Oryza sativa Japonica Group: one gene and its partners. The protein of the gene in region 2 interacts with the protein of the main gene of each other region in a pairwise test. Links are inferred from orthologs where the notes say so. Each region holds a gene or a part of one and is shown on either strand. Other genes may lie near its edges.

Region 1 (4,249 bases), on a different chromosome or scaffold from region 2:
TGATTGGACTCTCCTATGCTGAGCTTCGACATGCCAACAAGCTCATCAACGTTGATTGGGCTCTTTGAATGAACTGGAACAGGCTTGACAATCTCATGTGTTTCTTGCACAGGACCATCTTCATCTTTCTGATTTTGCCAGAAAGGAACCGAGAATTGCAAAAAGGGCGAGAAATAAGCTGGAACAATCACTGGATAGGTCGACTGCAAATTATCTGGCATGATAGCAGAAGCGGAAGAGCTCTCTGCAACGGCAGAAGTATCTGACTCCATAGAATCTACCTCCTCCTCCTCCCTCGGTGGAGGTAGTGCTGGTTGATTTAATACTTGGGTCTCTGGTTCTTGACCTCCAGGAAGTGGTGGAAGGTCCATAGACTGTAAAACCACCAAAACACAGTTCAGTTCCCCCATTAGAGTACAGAGAAAACAGTACAACCTTTCTAATTCGAACAAGGATAAAAGTGTTCTCAAGTCTTCATGCAATACATAAATAAACTACACAATTTGTTCAAAAAGATAAGTTTTAGCAATATGATATCTATCACCACACAAATGAGCAATCTCCTCGTCTCAATATAAGAATAGACCCAGGCAGGCTTATTATGCTACATGCCAATATCAGCACAATAATCGAAATAAGATCAAGCAAGCTACCTCATCTGGCACCATGTCAAAAAGGCTAGACCTTCTTTTCCTTCTGGTCATATTGGATTGGCGTATAAAATATTTCTGAGCATGACTGGCTACTTGAGTAGGTGTTCTTGAGACCACGAAATTACGAGAGATTCCTCGCCAATCACCTTTGCCAAGCTTTTGCAATCCAAGCAAAAACCTCCGGTGTTCTTCTTCAGTCCAAGGAACACCTGTCAAAGTCATCTTAATCAGAAACATGGCACACAGAATGTGGCCTGCAGGCACGCAGGTAGCGAGTAATGACTGGAGTACAAGAAGCTGGAGAACTGTAATAGTTAAGCTCCCATCATATACTGACAAAAATACCAACAAACTTGGGACTACTACACAAAATAACAGTACTGCCTATCACCAAAGGAAAATTATCCAGCCCAAAAAAGAGCCCGTTCCTAAGAAACAGGGCGCACAGAGAGAGGACTCCAATCTTAAAAAGTAAAAGGATTCTATGAGATTCCAAGAGAAATGCCAGAACATAAAAGGGAAAGAGACAAATTTTATGTCTTTTGCCACCTTAACAAGTTATGCAGAAGGTTAACAAGATTAAAACATTGTCAATCTGGCATAATCCTCTTAACAGAATAAATGTCAAAAGAATAGCAAATTGTACATTTCAAGGCGATTTCTTTTATCCAATTTAGTGCCTTTCATTACAAATTGATAAAGGACAAACATATACTTTTGACTTTTCCAATACATTTAAGTCAGTAGGCATATAAGTCTAAAACTGCACTCCAAGCATCAAATTTGGATGGAAGTACAAGTTAATGAGGCAATGACAACGCAGTCTACCAATGGCATGACCTCTAGTAAGGCCGTTACAGTAGGAACTACTGCCACAGTAAAGATCAAACAATCACGTGCTGCTTTGAAGCTTTCACACATTAACATAGGCATGCCATTAGGAAGGTTCTTGGGTTTTGAAAGCTGACAGCTTGGAAGACTTTTCTTGGACCAACACCGCGAATATAACTACGCAGTAAACTAGAAATCATTCTGAATCAGAACAGAGCTAACAACACCGTACGCAATCATAGGTTCCAATCTCCGATGATCGGGTGTCTAAACATGAGAACACTGAGCCTAGTTACCAGCCACTCACAAAATCCCTAATTCGACACTGTTATCCTCTCAGAACACGTGGCCCCATGCATCCTTGCAGAGGCAAAGGATCAAATTAAAAAGTTCCACAGGATCAGCCATCATTACTCGTTGGAACGATCTGGTCTGATTCTAAATTCTTACTTATCCTAGACAAATATGGAGCTGAGCATGAGTTTGACAAAACGTCCTTGTGATCTCATCAAACAGTTGGAGGCATCTATACGCCGTCCTTGTACCGAGAGTAATTAATTGAAGTGGAGTGGCGTATGCATGAGCTAAGTAGTACCAAATCACTCATCCATGACCATCAGTACAATCTGCCCATTAAATGCTTTCTCTAGCGTCTGTCCTACTTGGAAGAAACAACTAGCAGTGACTGCTAGTAGCAGTACTCCATCAAATCTCCCAAATCTACACGCCGAAGCAGCAAAGGAAGAAGAACATACTAGTAGGAATAATAATAAAAAAAGAAGCACAAGAAGAAGAAAAACCTGAGGTTGGAGAGGATCTAGTAAGTCGCATCAGGCCAGAATGGTTTTTGGGATGATTAAATCATTGAAATTAAGGGGTTGGGAAAGAAGAAGAAGGGGGGGGGCTGACCCTTCTTGCGGTCGCGGGTGGCGGAGGAGGAGCCCTGGACGAAGTCGTCGGAGGCGTAGCCGTCGGCGGCGGTGGGGGCGGCGTCGGGGCCGTCGGCGGGGGAGGCGCCGCCGCTGGTGGATCCGGCGGCGGAGGAGAGGAGGGAGAGGTTCCCCATGCTGGCGCTCTTGCGGATGGAGCCATCGGTGAGGCGCACCCCGAAGATCTTGACCCCGCGGTTGGGGCACGTCCGCGAGTTGTGCCCGTTGTGGCTGCAGTGCGAGCACCGCCTCGTCATCCCCCCCTCCGTCCCTCCACCTTCCAAAGCTTCCCTTCCCCCACCTATGGAGATCGATCGATCGATCGAGTGGAGACGGAGATGGTGGTGGTGGAGACGACGAGGAGAGGGAGGGGGGAGAAGAGGAAGGGGAGGAGAGGGGTTAACTGCTGTGTGGTGATTGGTTAAGGTGGTCGGAGAGAGGCGAGGGCCGTCCACGTGGCGGATATTCGGGGGAAGGGGATATACGTGAGACGAGGGAGGCAAGTAGCGGCGGCTTGTGGGTCACGCCTTCTTTCTATCCGTCCACGCGGTTGGGCTTCCTTCCTTCGGCTGCTCTCCTCAGCCTCAGCCTCTGCTTCGATCGTTTCGTGTGGTGACTGGTGAACGATCCACAGCAAACGGCCCCCAACAAACTCTCTCTCGCTGCTAGCTCGTCAAACTGTCGTGGTCTTTCTTTCTTTTCTTGTTTTTTTTCTTTTGAGCGATGTCATGGTCTGGTTTAACTCTTCTACTCGTAACTAAACAGACGTTAACTAAAGATGAAAAATGCACGGATTATTCTACGCCAAAAAGTTTATGGATTCTAAATGTGTTGCTTCTTGGTGTACCATGTAACCCTAATGTGCCACGGGTGAACGTAAATCCTGAATAGTTGAGGATTAGAGGTTTGTCTCACTATAACTATCAATACCAGGTTTTGGTTGATTTTATCAGCTAAATGCCAGCTAGATAAGGAAGATAAATCACACGTATCTGATTCCTAAAGACGGAGAGTTAGTTTTGTGAACAGTAGAACTAATTCCTAACCAAATTGGAGATAACCCTCGAGCCCCACCAGCGCCTATATAAAGAGATGAAAGGCAAAGGAGAAGGGATGTCGTACTCTTTGCCTAAACCCTAAAACTTGCACTAGAAAGGATTCGTGAGGTGATCTCGGGAAGCCCTCGGTGATGAAAAAAGAAGAGAAGAAAAGAAACCGAAGAAGAAGAGAAGGAAGAAACAAAAGGAGAAAATTAACACCAATGGCATCTCAAGCAGGTCGGTGAGATTACAATTCTACATAGGTGATTTTGTATAGGCTAAAGCATTGAGATTGTAAATTTGAACTCCAACACGAGGATGTCAAATATTTTTGTAGAACGCTCACTTTGTTTCACATTAGAAGACAATAATGCTAATGACATTTTTACCTATCGATCCTATTGGAGAGACAATATTAATATGATGGTGGAGTCCATCCACGAGGTCCATAAATATGCGTCTTTATAGTAGATGTTGAGTCTAAAGATTATACAACCTTTATCAAGTTAGTGTCATGTGGTATGCTATGATTCGTTTATATATGCATCAACCTATACTCTATATAAGGAATTATGCTTCCTATAGAGTAAGGGAAAGGAATTATTGATGCTATTTGAATGTGTATTACGAGGACACGCTGATAGCTATGTACGTGTATGTATTTCATGGGACCTAAAATGTGCACTCACTCTTTCTGCAAGCATAAATCGAGGCTTGTTCAGTTTGCTATCATTTTCAACCTTATCAAGTTTTGGCAAAGTTACTTAAAAAAGTAGCTACATTTAGTTTGTTGCCA
Region 2 (4,053 bases):
ATGAATAGCACAGCACGAGCAGAAAAACGAAAATGACTACAGGACTAAATGCAGGAGCAGTGAGCAGTCCATCTATCCATTCATCAGCTGATTCTTGTACTGGCAGGCTAGTATCTATATTTCTATGTTCACAACACAGATAACTTCCACAAAGTTCAAGTTAAAGCTGGCCACAAGATCAATCCTTGCTGCAAGTTTCATGCTTTCCGTAGCTTAGCAGGAGAGTAGAGTAATGAATATATCAAGAGATCACCAACATAAGACACATGTGAACTGATGGAATAGAAGAAACGCCAAGGCTTCAGAGTCGAACATCCTTCAGAAAACATCTGCATGGCAAAAAAGGGGGTTTCATATCAAATGTACAGGGTTACTACATCGATAATAGACAAAGGTTAAGATGATTCACAAGACATTAGAAATGCTAGGCAGCTGAAGGAGAAGTTAAATATTTTCGAAGTAGAACATAATCAAATTCCATGCCATGTTCCATTGATGTCCCAGTTGTGAAGCGATTTGAACATTGCTTGGATTGCGAAATTTGGCGGTATGTCATGCTGGCATTAAAGAATATATCATCTAAGCAAATAAAATGCAGCTTGCACCAGAGAAGAGTAAGCAGGGAGGCCTAGGAATTGTTGTATGGGCTTTATGTTTATACAGATAGATTAAACAATCTGCTGCAAAAAATATCAAATTACTCAATATAGAATTAGAACTGTTGGGACTAAGATTAAAAGAAACATATATATTACAAGGACACTGACATAGACAATAATATCCAGAAACAGTATCTGAAGTGCGAGTACGGTAGGATAAATGGCAGTCAGACATACTAGGTTCTGCTTCTAGTTAGCGCTTCTTATTTGATGTTGAACAAAATACCTTGTTGGCTCTTGTTGTGATGGGAATTTACACCTTGTAAACAGAATAATGAAAAGAATGGAGCATAGTCTAAATCTGTTTTTTTTTTCCATCAACAGTCAGAATATAACTTACGATCATAAATAGACACAAGTCCAGGACATCAAGAAAATAAGAAGATTTCATCTAATCCTGGTCAGTGCTGACTAACATTGAGGGAAGGGGCAGAGGAGGTGGTACAATCACAGGATGAAATAATGGACAAATGAAGGTGACAAAGTGTCATAAAAAGTGCTTGTGTGCTGATTGATGTTTCGATTTGGTTTGAACCGATAACCTTTGTTCAGTTGGTGCAAGTACAACACCACTATAATAATCATGCCTTCTAGTTTGTATGGAAATGAGGCATCTTGTATTGTCGATCATTCCAGAAACATATCCACCAGACAGTTCATCACAAATTGAGTTCACCCAACAATATTAGGAAATTCTAACCTTTATAGGACTGATGAATGAGGTTACTTTTGCAGTATAATGTAGAAGCTTCTGATAAATCAAATTCAACAATCCCAAAATCTAATACTAATGTTTAGAATCAGCATTATTCAATCTTAAAAATATTATGCTATGAATCAATAGACTATTTGAACCATGAAGGGCCAAAGGAACCAACCTCGTCAGACCCTGAGAAGCTGGACCTTGTTCTCAAAGGCAATCGATATCCACTCCGGGTAAGCTGCCGCCCATTGCAGTTGGTTTATCTCTGCACCGGCATCATACACCATCACAGGATCAATCCCCTCGGCCGGCACTGCGCCGGGCGTCGCTGGCAGCTCCCAAATCAGCGCTTGGCCGTCGTCCCCAGCCGAGCAAAGGTGCCTCGTGGCCTGTGGCGCCCAAGCGACCGCGTTGGCGCACGCCCGGTGTCTGTGTAGTTCGGCCACCGGCACCCCGGGCGCGCGCATGTCGAGCACGACGACGGCGCTGCTGTCCATGAGCAGGGTGGCCATGTAGTGGAAGTCATAGCGGTTCCATGCCAGCCTGAGGAGCGGCGTGTCCGGGCGGGGGCTCTCGTAGAAGATGGTGGAATGCTCCTTGTCCCGGAGGTCGAAGACGCGGACGGAGCCGTCGGCTGAGACGGAGGCGAAGATGCCGTTCTCCCCCCAGGCGATGTCGTGCACGGCCTTGTCGTGCGCGATGAGCTGCGTCTCGACGACGCCGCGCTCGATGTCCCAGATGGTGCAGGTGGTGTCGATGGAGGCGGTCCCGATGCGGCGGGGCTCGGCCTCGTTCCAGTCGAAGGAGGTGAGGGGGGCGCAGAACTCGGAGGCGGATGTCTTGCGGTTGTCGAGGACGGAGCGGAGCTCGGGCGCGGCGGCGGTGGCGGTGGCGGCGAGATCGTCGAGCGGGGCAAGCCAGAGCCGCAGCGCGTCGGAGGAGGAGGCGAGGAGGTGGGGCGCGGAGGCGGCGCGCGGGTGGAACTGGAGCTTGGTGGGCGGGTAGGGGTGGTCGAAGGAGAGCGCGGGGAGGGCGCGGAAGGAGGCGGCGGTGGGGTGGACGGGGTCGAAGGAGAGGAGGGAGACGCGGTTGTGGAGGTCCTCGAGGAAGCTGCCGGCGGCGAGGACGGGCGCGGAGGGGGAGAAGGCCAGCGCGTAGATGGAGTGCGGCAGCTCGCAGGTGAAGGCGTTCGGGTTCTGCGCCTCCGCCGCCGAGGCGGCTACCGACGGCGGCTTGGGCTGCTCCATGGGAAAAATCGTTGGATTCGCTTCGCTTTGCTTCCTTTCTTTCTCGGGTGGATTTGGGGATGAATGGACTCACGCGCCGCGGTGGTTGATCGGGTCGGGGAGTTCAGAGTAAAAAACGCGAGCAGCCAGGCCGAGCAGGTAGGAGGGACGGCGAAGGAGGAGGCGCGTCAACGCGCGCGTGCCACGGCAACCGGCCGGTAAACGTCAGCTCGGCACGAGGGTTGAACGGGCGACGATGCGGGCATGCGGCCGCCGGGCTGCTGCAGTTGGTGGCCGCCTGAAGCTGATTCAACGGTGGGGCCAGACCGTCAGTGACTTATAGTCAAAGCTGGTTTCGACTTTCGACTGGAATCAGTTTAACTTAAACAGGATGTACTCATTTACTCAACCAGCCTCTCATGAGTTCTTGAGCAACCGGCAGGACAGGTCAGTCCTCTCAAGCAATGCAAACGATGCTACTACCATCAGGATAGGGTAGTGCCCCATGGGGAACAAAAGAAACAAACAGTTAAGAGAAACTGCAAGGCAGAATTTGCGGCTTTTAACAGCTGAAAACCAGCTTAGCTAATAGTTGCCACTTAATTAATATAAAGGTTGCTCTCTTTCTCACAGATTAGAAAGGCAAAAATAACGAGTCTAGGAAAAACATTTTTCCCCAATTCTGATTTAAGCAGCAACTGAAGGCTACACATCGTCGCTCAGCGTGTGGAACTGAACAGAGCTCGGCTGACAATACCAGTTGCCTCAATGTAACGATCAACACAGCGTGATATGCAACTGCTCTCGCTCCCGCTCAAGCTTGATCCTGGCTTTGTCACGCACTTGGCAAAGCACTTGTTTCCAACAGTCTGTAACAACAAAACAAGAGAGAATTACAACCATGTCATGTGTTTAACAAAGAAGCAATGCCTGGAATTGGCATGTTTTATTTCAAACACTACCCTTTTTCTCATGTAATCTGTATTACATATATGTCATGTAAACCAACAGTGGCAGAATCACTTGATCAGCAAGACTAAGGGTGAGTTTGAGGAGAAGGTGATTGAGGAGATTGGGAAGATACGTAAAACGAGGTGAGCCATTAGCTCATGATTAATTGAGTATTAATTATTTTAAATTTCAAAAATGGATTAATATGATTTTTAAAAGCAACTTTCCTATAGGAAATTTTTACAAAAAACGCACCATTTAGTAATTTGGAAAGCGTGCGCGCGGAAAACGAGATGTTATCTCCCTCAATGTTACCCGAACGAACGCAGCCTAATTACTCATATGTCAAACTTCGTAGTAATAGTGTAGCAACAGGAAGGGTCAACTTCAATGCTAACTTTGTGAACACATATTTTACCTTTCTGGTCGTGGCAGGCCAGCACAAGTTAATAGTTCTGACTCTATGTTGAGTTCAAATATATAATGAACACAGAAGTGAAAGACATACAAAATG
Region 3 (4,014 bases), about 3.3 Mb from region 2:
TCTCTACCTCCCTGGAGGATGGATCATCATCTTCATCTTCTGAGATATCATCTCCAGTGCTGGTTATATCTGTATAGTTTGCCTGTCTAACAAATTGCCCTCGCACCCTCGGCCTTGTTTCAGCAAGTTTCTTCCTATTCACGTACCTCACCTTCTTGTCAAAACAACGTTCCTTCCTTTTCAGCCTGAATTTGGCAAGTGCTGCAGCTCTCCGTTCAGACCGACTACATGTTTCCTCGGGCATTGGTGTGCTTGATGCCTGTGGCCACATATTTTGTGTTGGCAGTTGATTTGATTGAATGCTCATACCAGCAGGATTATACTGAAATGGTGGCATCATAGATACACCATGACATTGGGGATAAACATTATACTGAGGGAGCAACGTTTGTGGTGTATGCACTTGAGCGTTGTTTATGTTCCCTTGGAAATTTTGCACCGGAGGATGTGTCATACCGTGGTCCATCATCCCTGGGTAATAAAAGGGAAAATGATATACAGGAGGAGTTCCTGAAGCATCATTTTGGCCTTCATTGCTTCGCTCCAGATGCAAGTTAGAGGAAGAAAAGCATACCACAGGGTATTGCACTGGCATCTCAAAGGCTTCTTTATCCCGAATATTTACATCAGTGCCAGTGTCACTTCTGTCAGTTGTACTAGAGAAATTACCCCTGTGATCCGAAGAGTCTAACCGATTTCCACCTTTTTGTAGTTCGCTGTCAAATGAGCTGGTAGTTGGGGTGCTTGACTTAACATAAGCTAGAAAAGCAGAAGACTCAGCAACCCTCAAGTTAGTCTTTATTGGACGTGAAAACATTACTCCGGGAGATGCTGGCATAAAAGCAAAGGCATAAACCTTAGAAACTATTCTTCAATTGGGGGATCTGCTAAATCAGCTAAAGGAAATGGTTTAAGGCTCAAGATACTTACAAGCTTGGTCGCCGCCTTCAGTAGAGACTAGTAAACCCTCTGGTGTGCCTTTTTGTTTAGGCTCAGCATCAGAAGGATTAGACTGCAAACATATCAAGAAATGCAAGGGCATTTAACAAGTAGACTGATGCAAAAAATTCAGCATCTTATCATCATCAATTGAACATATGAGGCAAAAAGGCATGCTCTAGCATCTAAACAGAACACAAAGGTAGAAAGATACTAAATAGAGAAGTAGTATGTTGGACAGCAAAATATAAAAGGATAACTAGTACTTGATTGGTTACCTCATATTCATGTTGATTCGAGGTGCTTGTTTCTTGATTAATGTTTTCTTTTGGCTTATCATCTGTGTCATCCGAGAGAAGAGTGGTGCTGTTGGTATTGGCGTCACTAGGTTCCGATAACGCCAACTCGAAATTGTCATTGAAGAAGTTTTTCTCCGACAAACCAAGCTGCCAACACCAACATTCAACTTAAGATCAACTCATACACGCTACAGCAACGCCACAGCCATCTCAGCTTAGAGCATGCTTTTCAACACAGAATTTGAAGATGAATCAACATAGTCCCCTTTACCATCCGCCTTCGCCGCCACACATGGGTCCAGAGGTTCAGCAGCTCGTTCATGCGCAGTGGCTTGACCAGGTACTCGGCTGCCCCGAGACGCAAGCACTTGACAACAACAGAGACCTCGTCTCTGTTGGACATCACTGCATAATTCGCATCAAAGATGAGGATGGTCACTACAACAACCCTACGAGCATGGGCATCAGAGGAATAGGAGGACAGCTTACTTATGATGGGGATGTGGCGCAATTCCTTGTTCCTGGCGATGTATTTGAGCATCTTGAAGCACTTGGAGACGGGCAGATCGACCTCGGCCAAGATGATGTCGATCTCCCCCGCCTCGCAGTTGAGTACGTTGATCACCTGCCTCGGAGACTTGGCGCAAGTCACTGAAACAAAAACAAAGACGTATCATTCCATGCGAGAAGGTGTGATAGAACTGCTAATTCATCTACTAAAGCAATCTTAATCCTTAATTATAAGAGCAAACCAAATACTAAGCAGACAAAGCTGAACTGACCTTGGTATGAGCAGTTGCAGAGGAGGCGGAGCACCTCCCGTGAGCTACTTGGGTCGCTGTCGCAGAGCAGAATCCTCACCTTGCTCCGGTCCACGAACTGCTGCCCTCCCCCTACCGCCGCCCCGCCGCCAACGCGATCCCCCTCGCCGGCGCCCACCATACCCCGACCCGCACGGATTCCCCCCCTAGCCACTTGTCACCAGCTGCCGACGCGTCCGAATCAGCACGAACAGCACAGCAGCCAGCAGCAGCTGCCGGCGCCTAGACTAGACGACGCAGGAGGACGAAGCGGTTGTTGGATCTGCGGGCGGCGCCTCCTCCTCCATATCCCGTGCCGTCGCCAGTAGTATCGCCCCCAGAGGCTAAGCAGTGTGCTACCGCCGCCACCCGCCGCCGACGCCGGCGGCGTCCTCCTCCGCCGCGCGTTGCGGTCCGGCCCGCACCATTATCCGCGCCTAATCTATTCAGGAGGCGGCGGCGGTGGTGGTGGCGGCGTTGGTGTCCGCTCTACTGGCACAGGATATTTTCCTCCCCCTACCTTTTGCTTTCCTCTCTCGGTGGGGCACGCGGCTCGGCTCGGCTCGGCTCGGCGAGAGATGAAAGAAAGAAGAAAAGGCCTCGTCACGCCGCGCCGGGGCGGTGTAAAAATAAACGAAACGGCTCGTCGCGAGCGGTTTGTGTCGCGTACTCGCGTCGCGCGGTGCGGGTGTGCGTGTGCGTGTGCCGGTGTCAATGGATTCGTCACGGGACGGGACGGGACGAGCCGCGAGCCGCGGCCCCGTGGGTGGGAGGGCCAGGTTGGATGGAGGGGAAGAGCCGGGCGTGGTTAAGCCAGATGGGCCCGGCCTGGCGGCGTGTGATTTCGGTGAGAAAATATCTACGCCTACCTGGCACGGAAATATCTTAATCGCGGATGCGATTAGGGGCGGCGGGCGTGGTGGGGCCGTGGCCGTGCGATACGGGAGCCGCCACGCGCGCGAGCTGGGGGCCAGCGAACGAACGCCAGGGAGACGCGCTACTGTAGTAGTACTGTGGAAACGACGACGCGAGAGGCGGAGGGAGGTGGTGCCGTGGTGGTGCCGTGGGAGTGGGAGCGCCACGCCCACGTACGTGCGGCGGCGTCCACGGTGGCCGCGTCCCCGCCCTCCGTTGCGGATCACGACGAAAGCCGCGCCAGCCCACCGCGGACGTGCCAAGGCGGAGAAAAATCCAGAGGGAAACGCGGCTCTCACGTTTTCACGTAGTACAGACCTTGATGGGCAGCATGGCGATACGGTGGTGGCTGGGCTGATGAGTAAAAGATTTTGAGCTACCGGACGAGACGAGTGGCCGGTAGAGAGCAGCAGCTGGATGGGGGGTGTTTTTTTTTTCCCCGTGTTGGCAACTTGGGATGCCCATTGCCACTACGCCGATCCGGAGAGCGACTGGTCGTGGACTTGTGGTGGCGGCTCGTGGCGCCGGCCTAGCGCTTTTTCTGTAGCTTTGCTTTTCTTGTTTGCCACTGGCGATGTACGTGGTGGCCTCCGGGCTCCGGCAGCAAATCAGCGATGCTGCAAAATGGGTTTAGCGTTAACAGCGCTGTCGTTTGTTTACTGATCTGTTACCAGCGCTGTAATTCAGTAATTCAGCAGAATGGTAAACACAACCAAGATTTTTGATTGCAGCTCTGAACTATGGCCAGGCAAAACAATCATTTTGACGAAGGGTGTTTCCTCCAGTTCACTGGCTGTATTTCTTCCACCGAGAGGAGTGGATGGTTGGTATCAGTGACGACACAACAACATCTCGATCTCAAAAATCTGGAGGCAGGCTGGCAGCCAGTAGCAGGAGCTTGGAGTGCCGATGTCATCAGTCTCATTCACAGGACGCACTAATCATATTTATTGCTACCAATGAAATCATACAAAATGAGTTATTAGCTAGAGTAGTGCTGCATACAGGCTTGAAAGTCACCCAAAGCTACTACTATCAGCAATAAGTTGTTCTGACAGTGG

Evidence for each region. The genes of interacting proteins can lie anywhere in the genome.
Region 1: the proteins of protein TRANSPARENT TESTA GLABRA 1 (region 2) and transcription factor MYBS3 interact in binary tests that used the Arabidopsis thaliana proteins (3 or more experiments, as listed by UniProt). The link is inferred for Oryza sativa Japonica Group from reciprocal best matches to the Arabidopsis thaliana genes TTG1 and AT5G47390.
Region 3: the proteins of protein TRANSPARENT TESTA GLABRA 1 (region 2) and two-component response regulator-like PRR1 interact in binary tests that used the Arabidopsis thaliana proteins (3 or more experiments, as listed by UniProt). The link is inferred for Oryza sativa Japonica Group from reciprocal best matches to the Arabidopsis thaliana genes TTG1 and TOC1.

Annotation. Positions count from the first base shown.
Region 1 is NC_089044.1:22,820,951-22,825,199, forward strand, and holds the start of transcription factor MYBS3, read right to left. Parts: upstream 2,807-4,249; 5' UTR 2,671-2,806; coding exon 2,394-2,670; intron 863-2,393; coding exon 654-862; intron 375-653; coding exon 1-374. UniProt on the Arabidopsis thaliana protein: Transcriptional repressor. Direct regulator of the transcription of peroxidase (Prxs) and reactive oxygen species (ROS)-related genes via the recognition of 5'-ATCACA-3' motif.
Region 2 is NC_089036.1:28,395,262-28,399,314, forward strand, and holds the start of protein TRANSPARENT TESTA GLABRA 1, read right to left. Parts: upstream 2,806-4,053; 5' UTR 2,610-2,805; coding exon 1,542-2,609; 3' UTR 1,538-1,541; intron 330-1,537; 3' UTR 1-329. Other genes in the region: mitochondrial import inner membrane translocase subunit Tim13, read right to left, coding at 3,308-3,457.
Region 3 is NC_089036.1:25,050,810-25,054,823, reverse strand, and holds the start of two-component response regulator-like PRR1, read right to left. Parts: upstream 2,807-4,014; 5' UTR 2,181-2,806; coding exon 2,021-2,180; intron 1,890-2,020; coding exon 1,728-1,889; intron 1,644-1,727; coding exon 1,510-1,643; intron 1,386-1,509; coding exon 1,218-1,385; intron 1,013-1,217; coding exon 931-1,012; intron 832-930; coding exon 1-831. UniProt on the Arabidopsis thaliana protein: Controls photoperiodic flowering response. Component of the circadian clock. Expression of several members of the ARR-like family is controlled by circadian rhythm.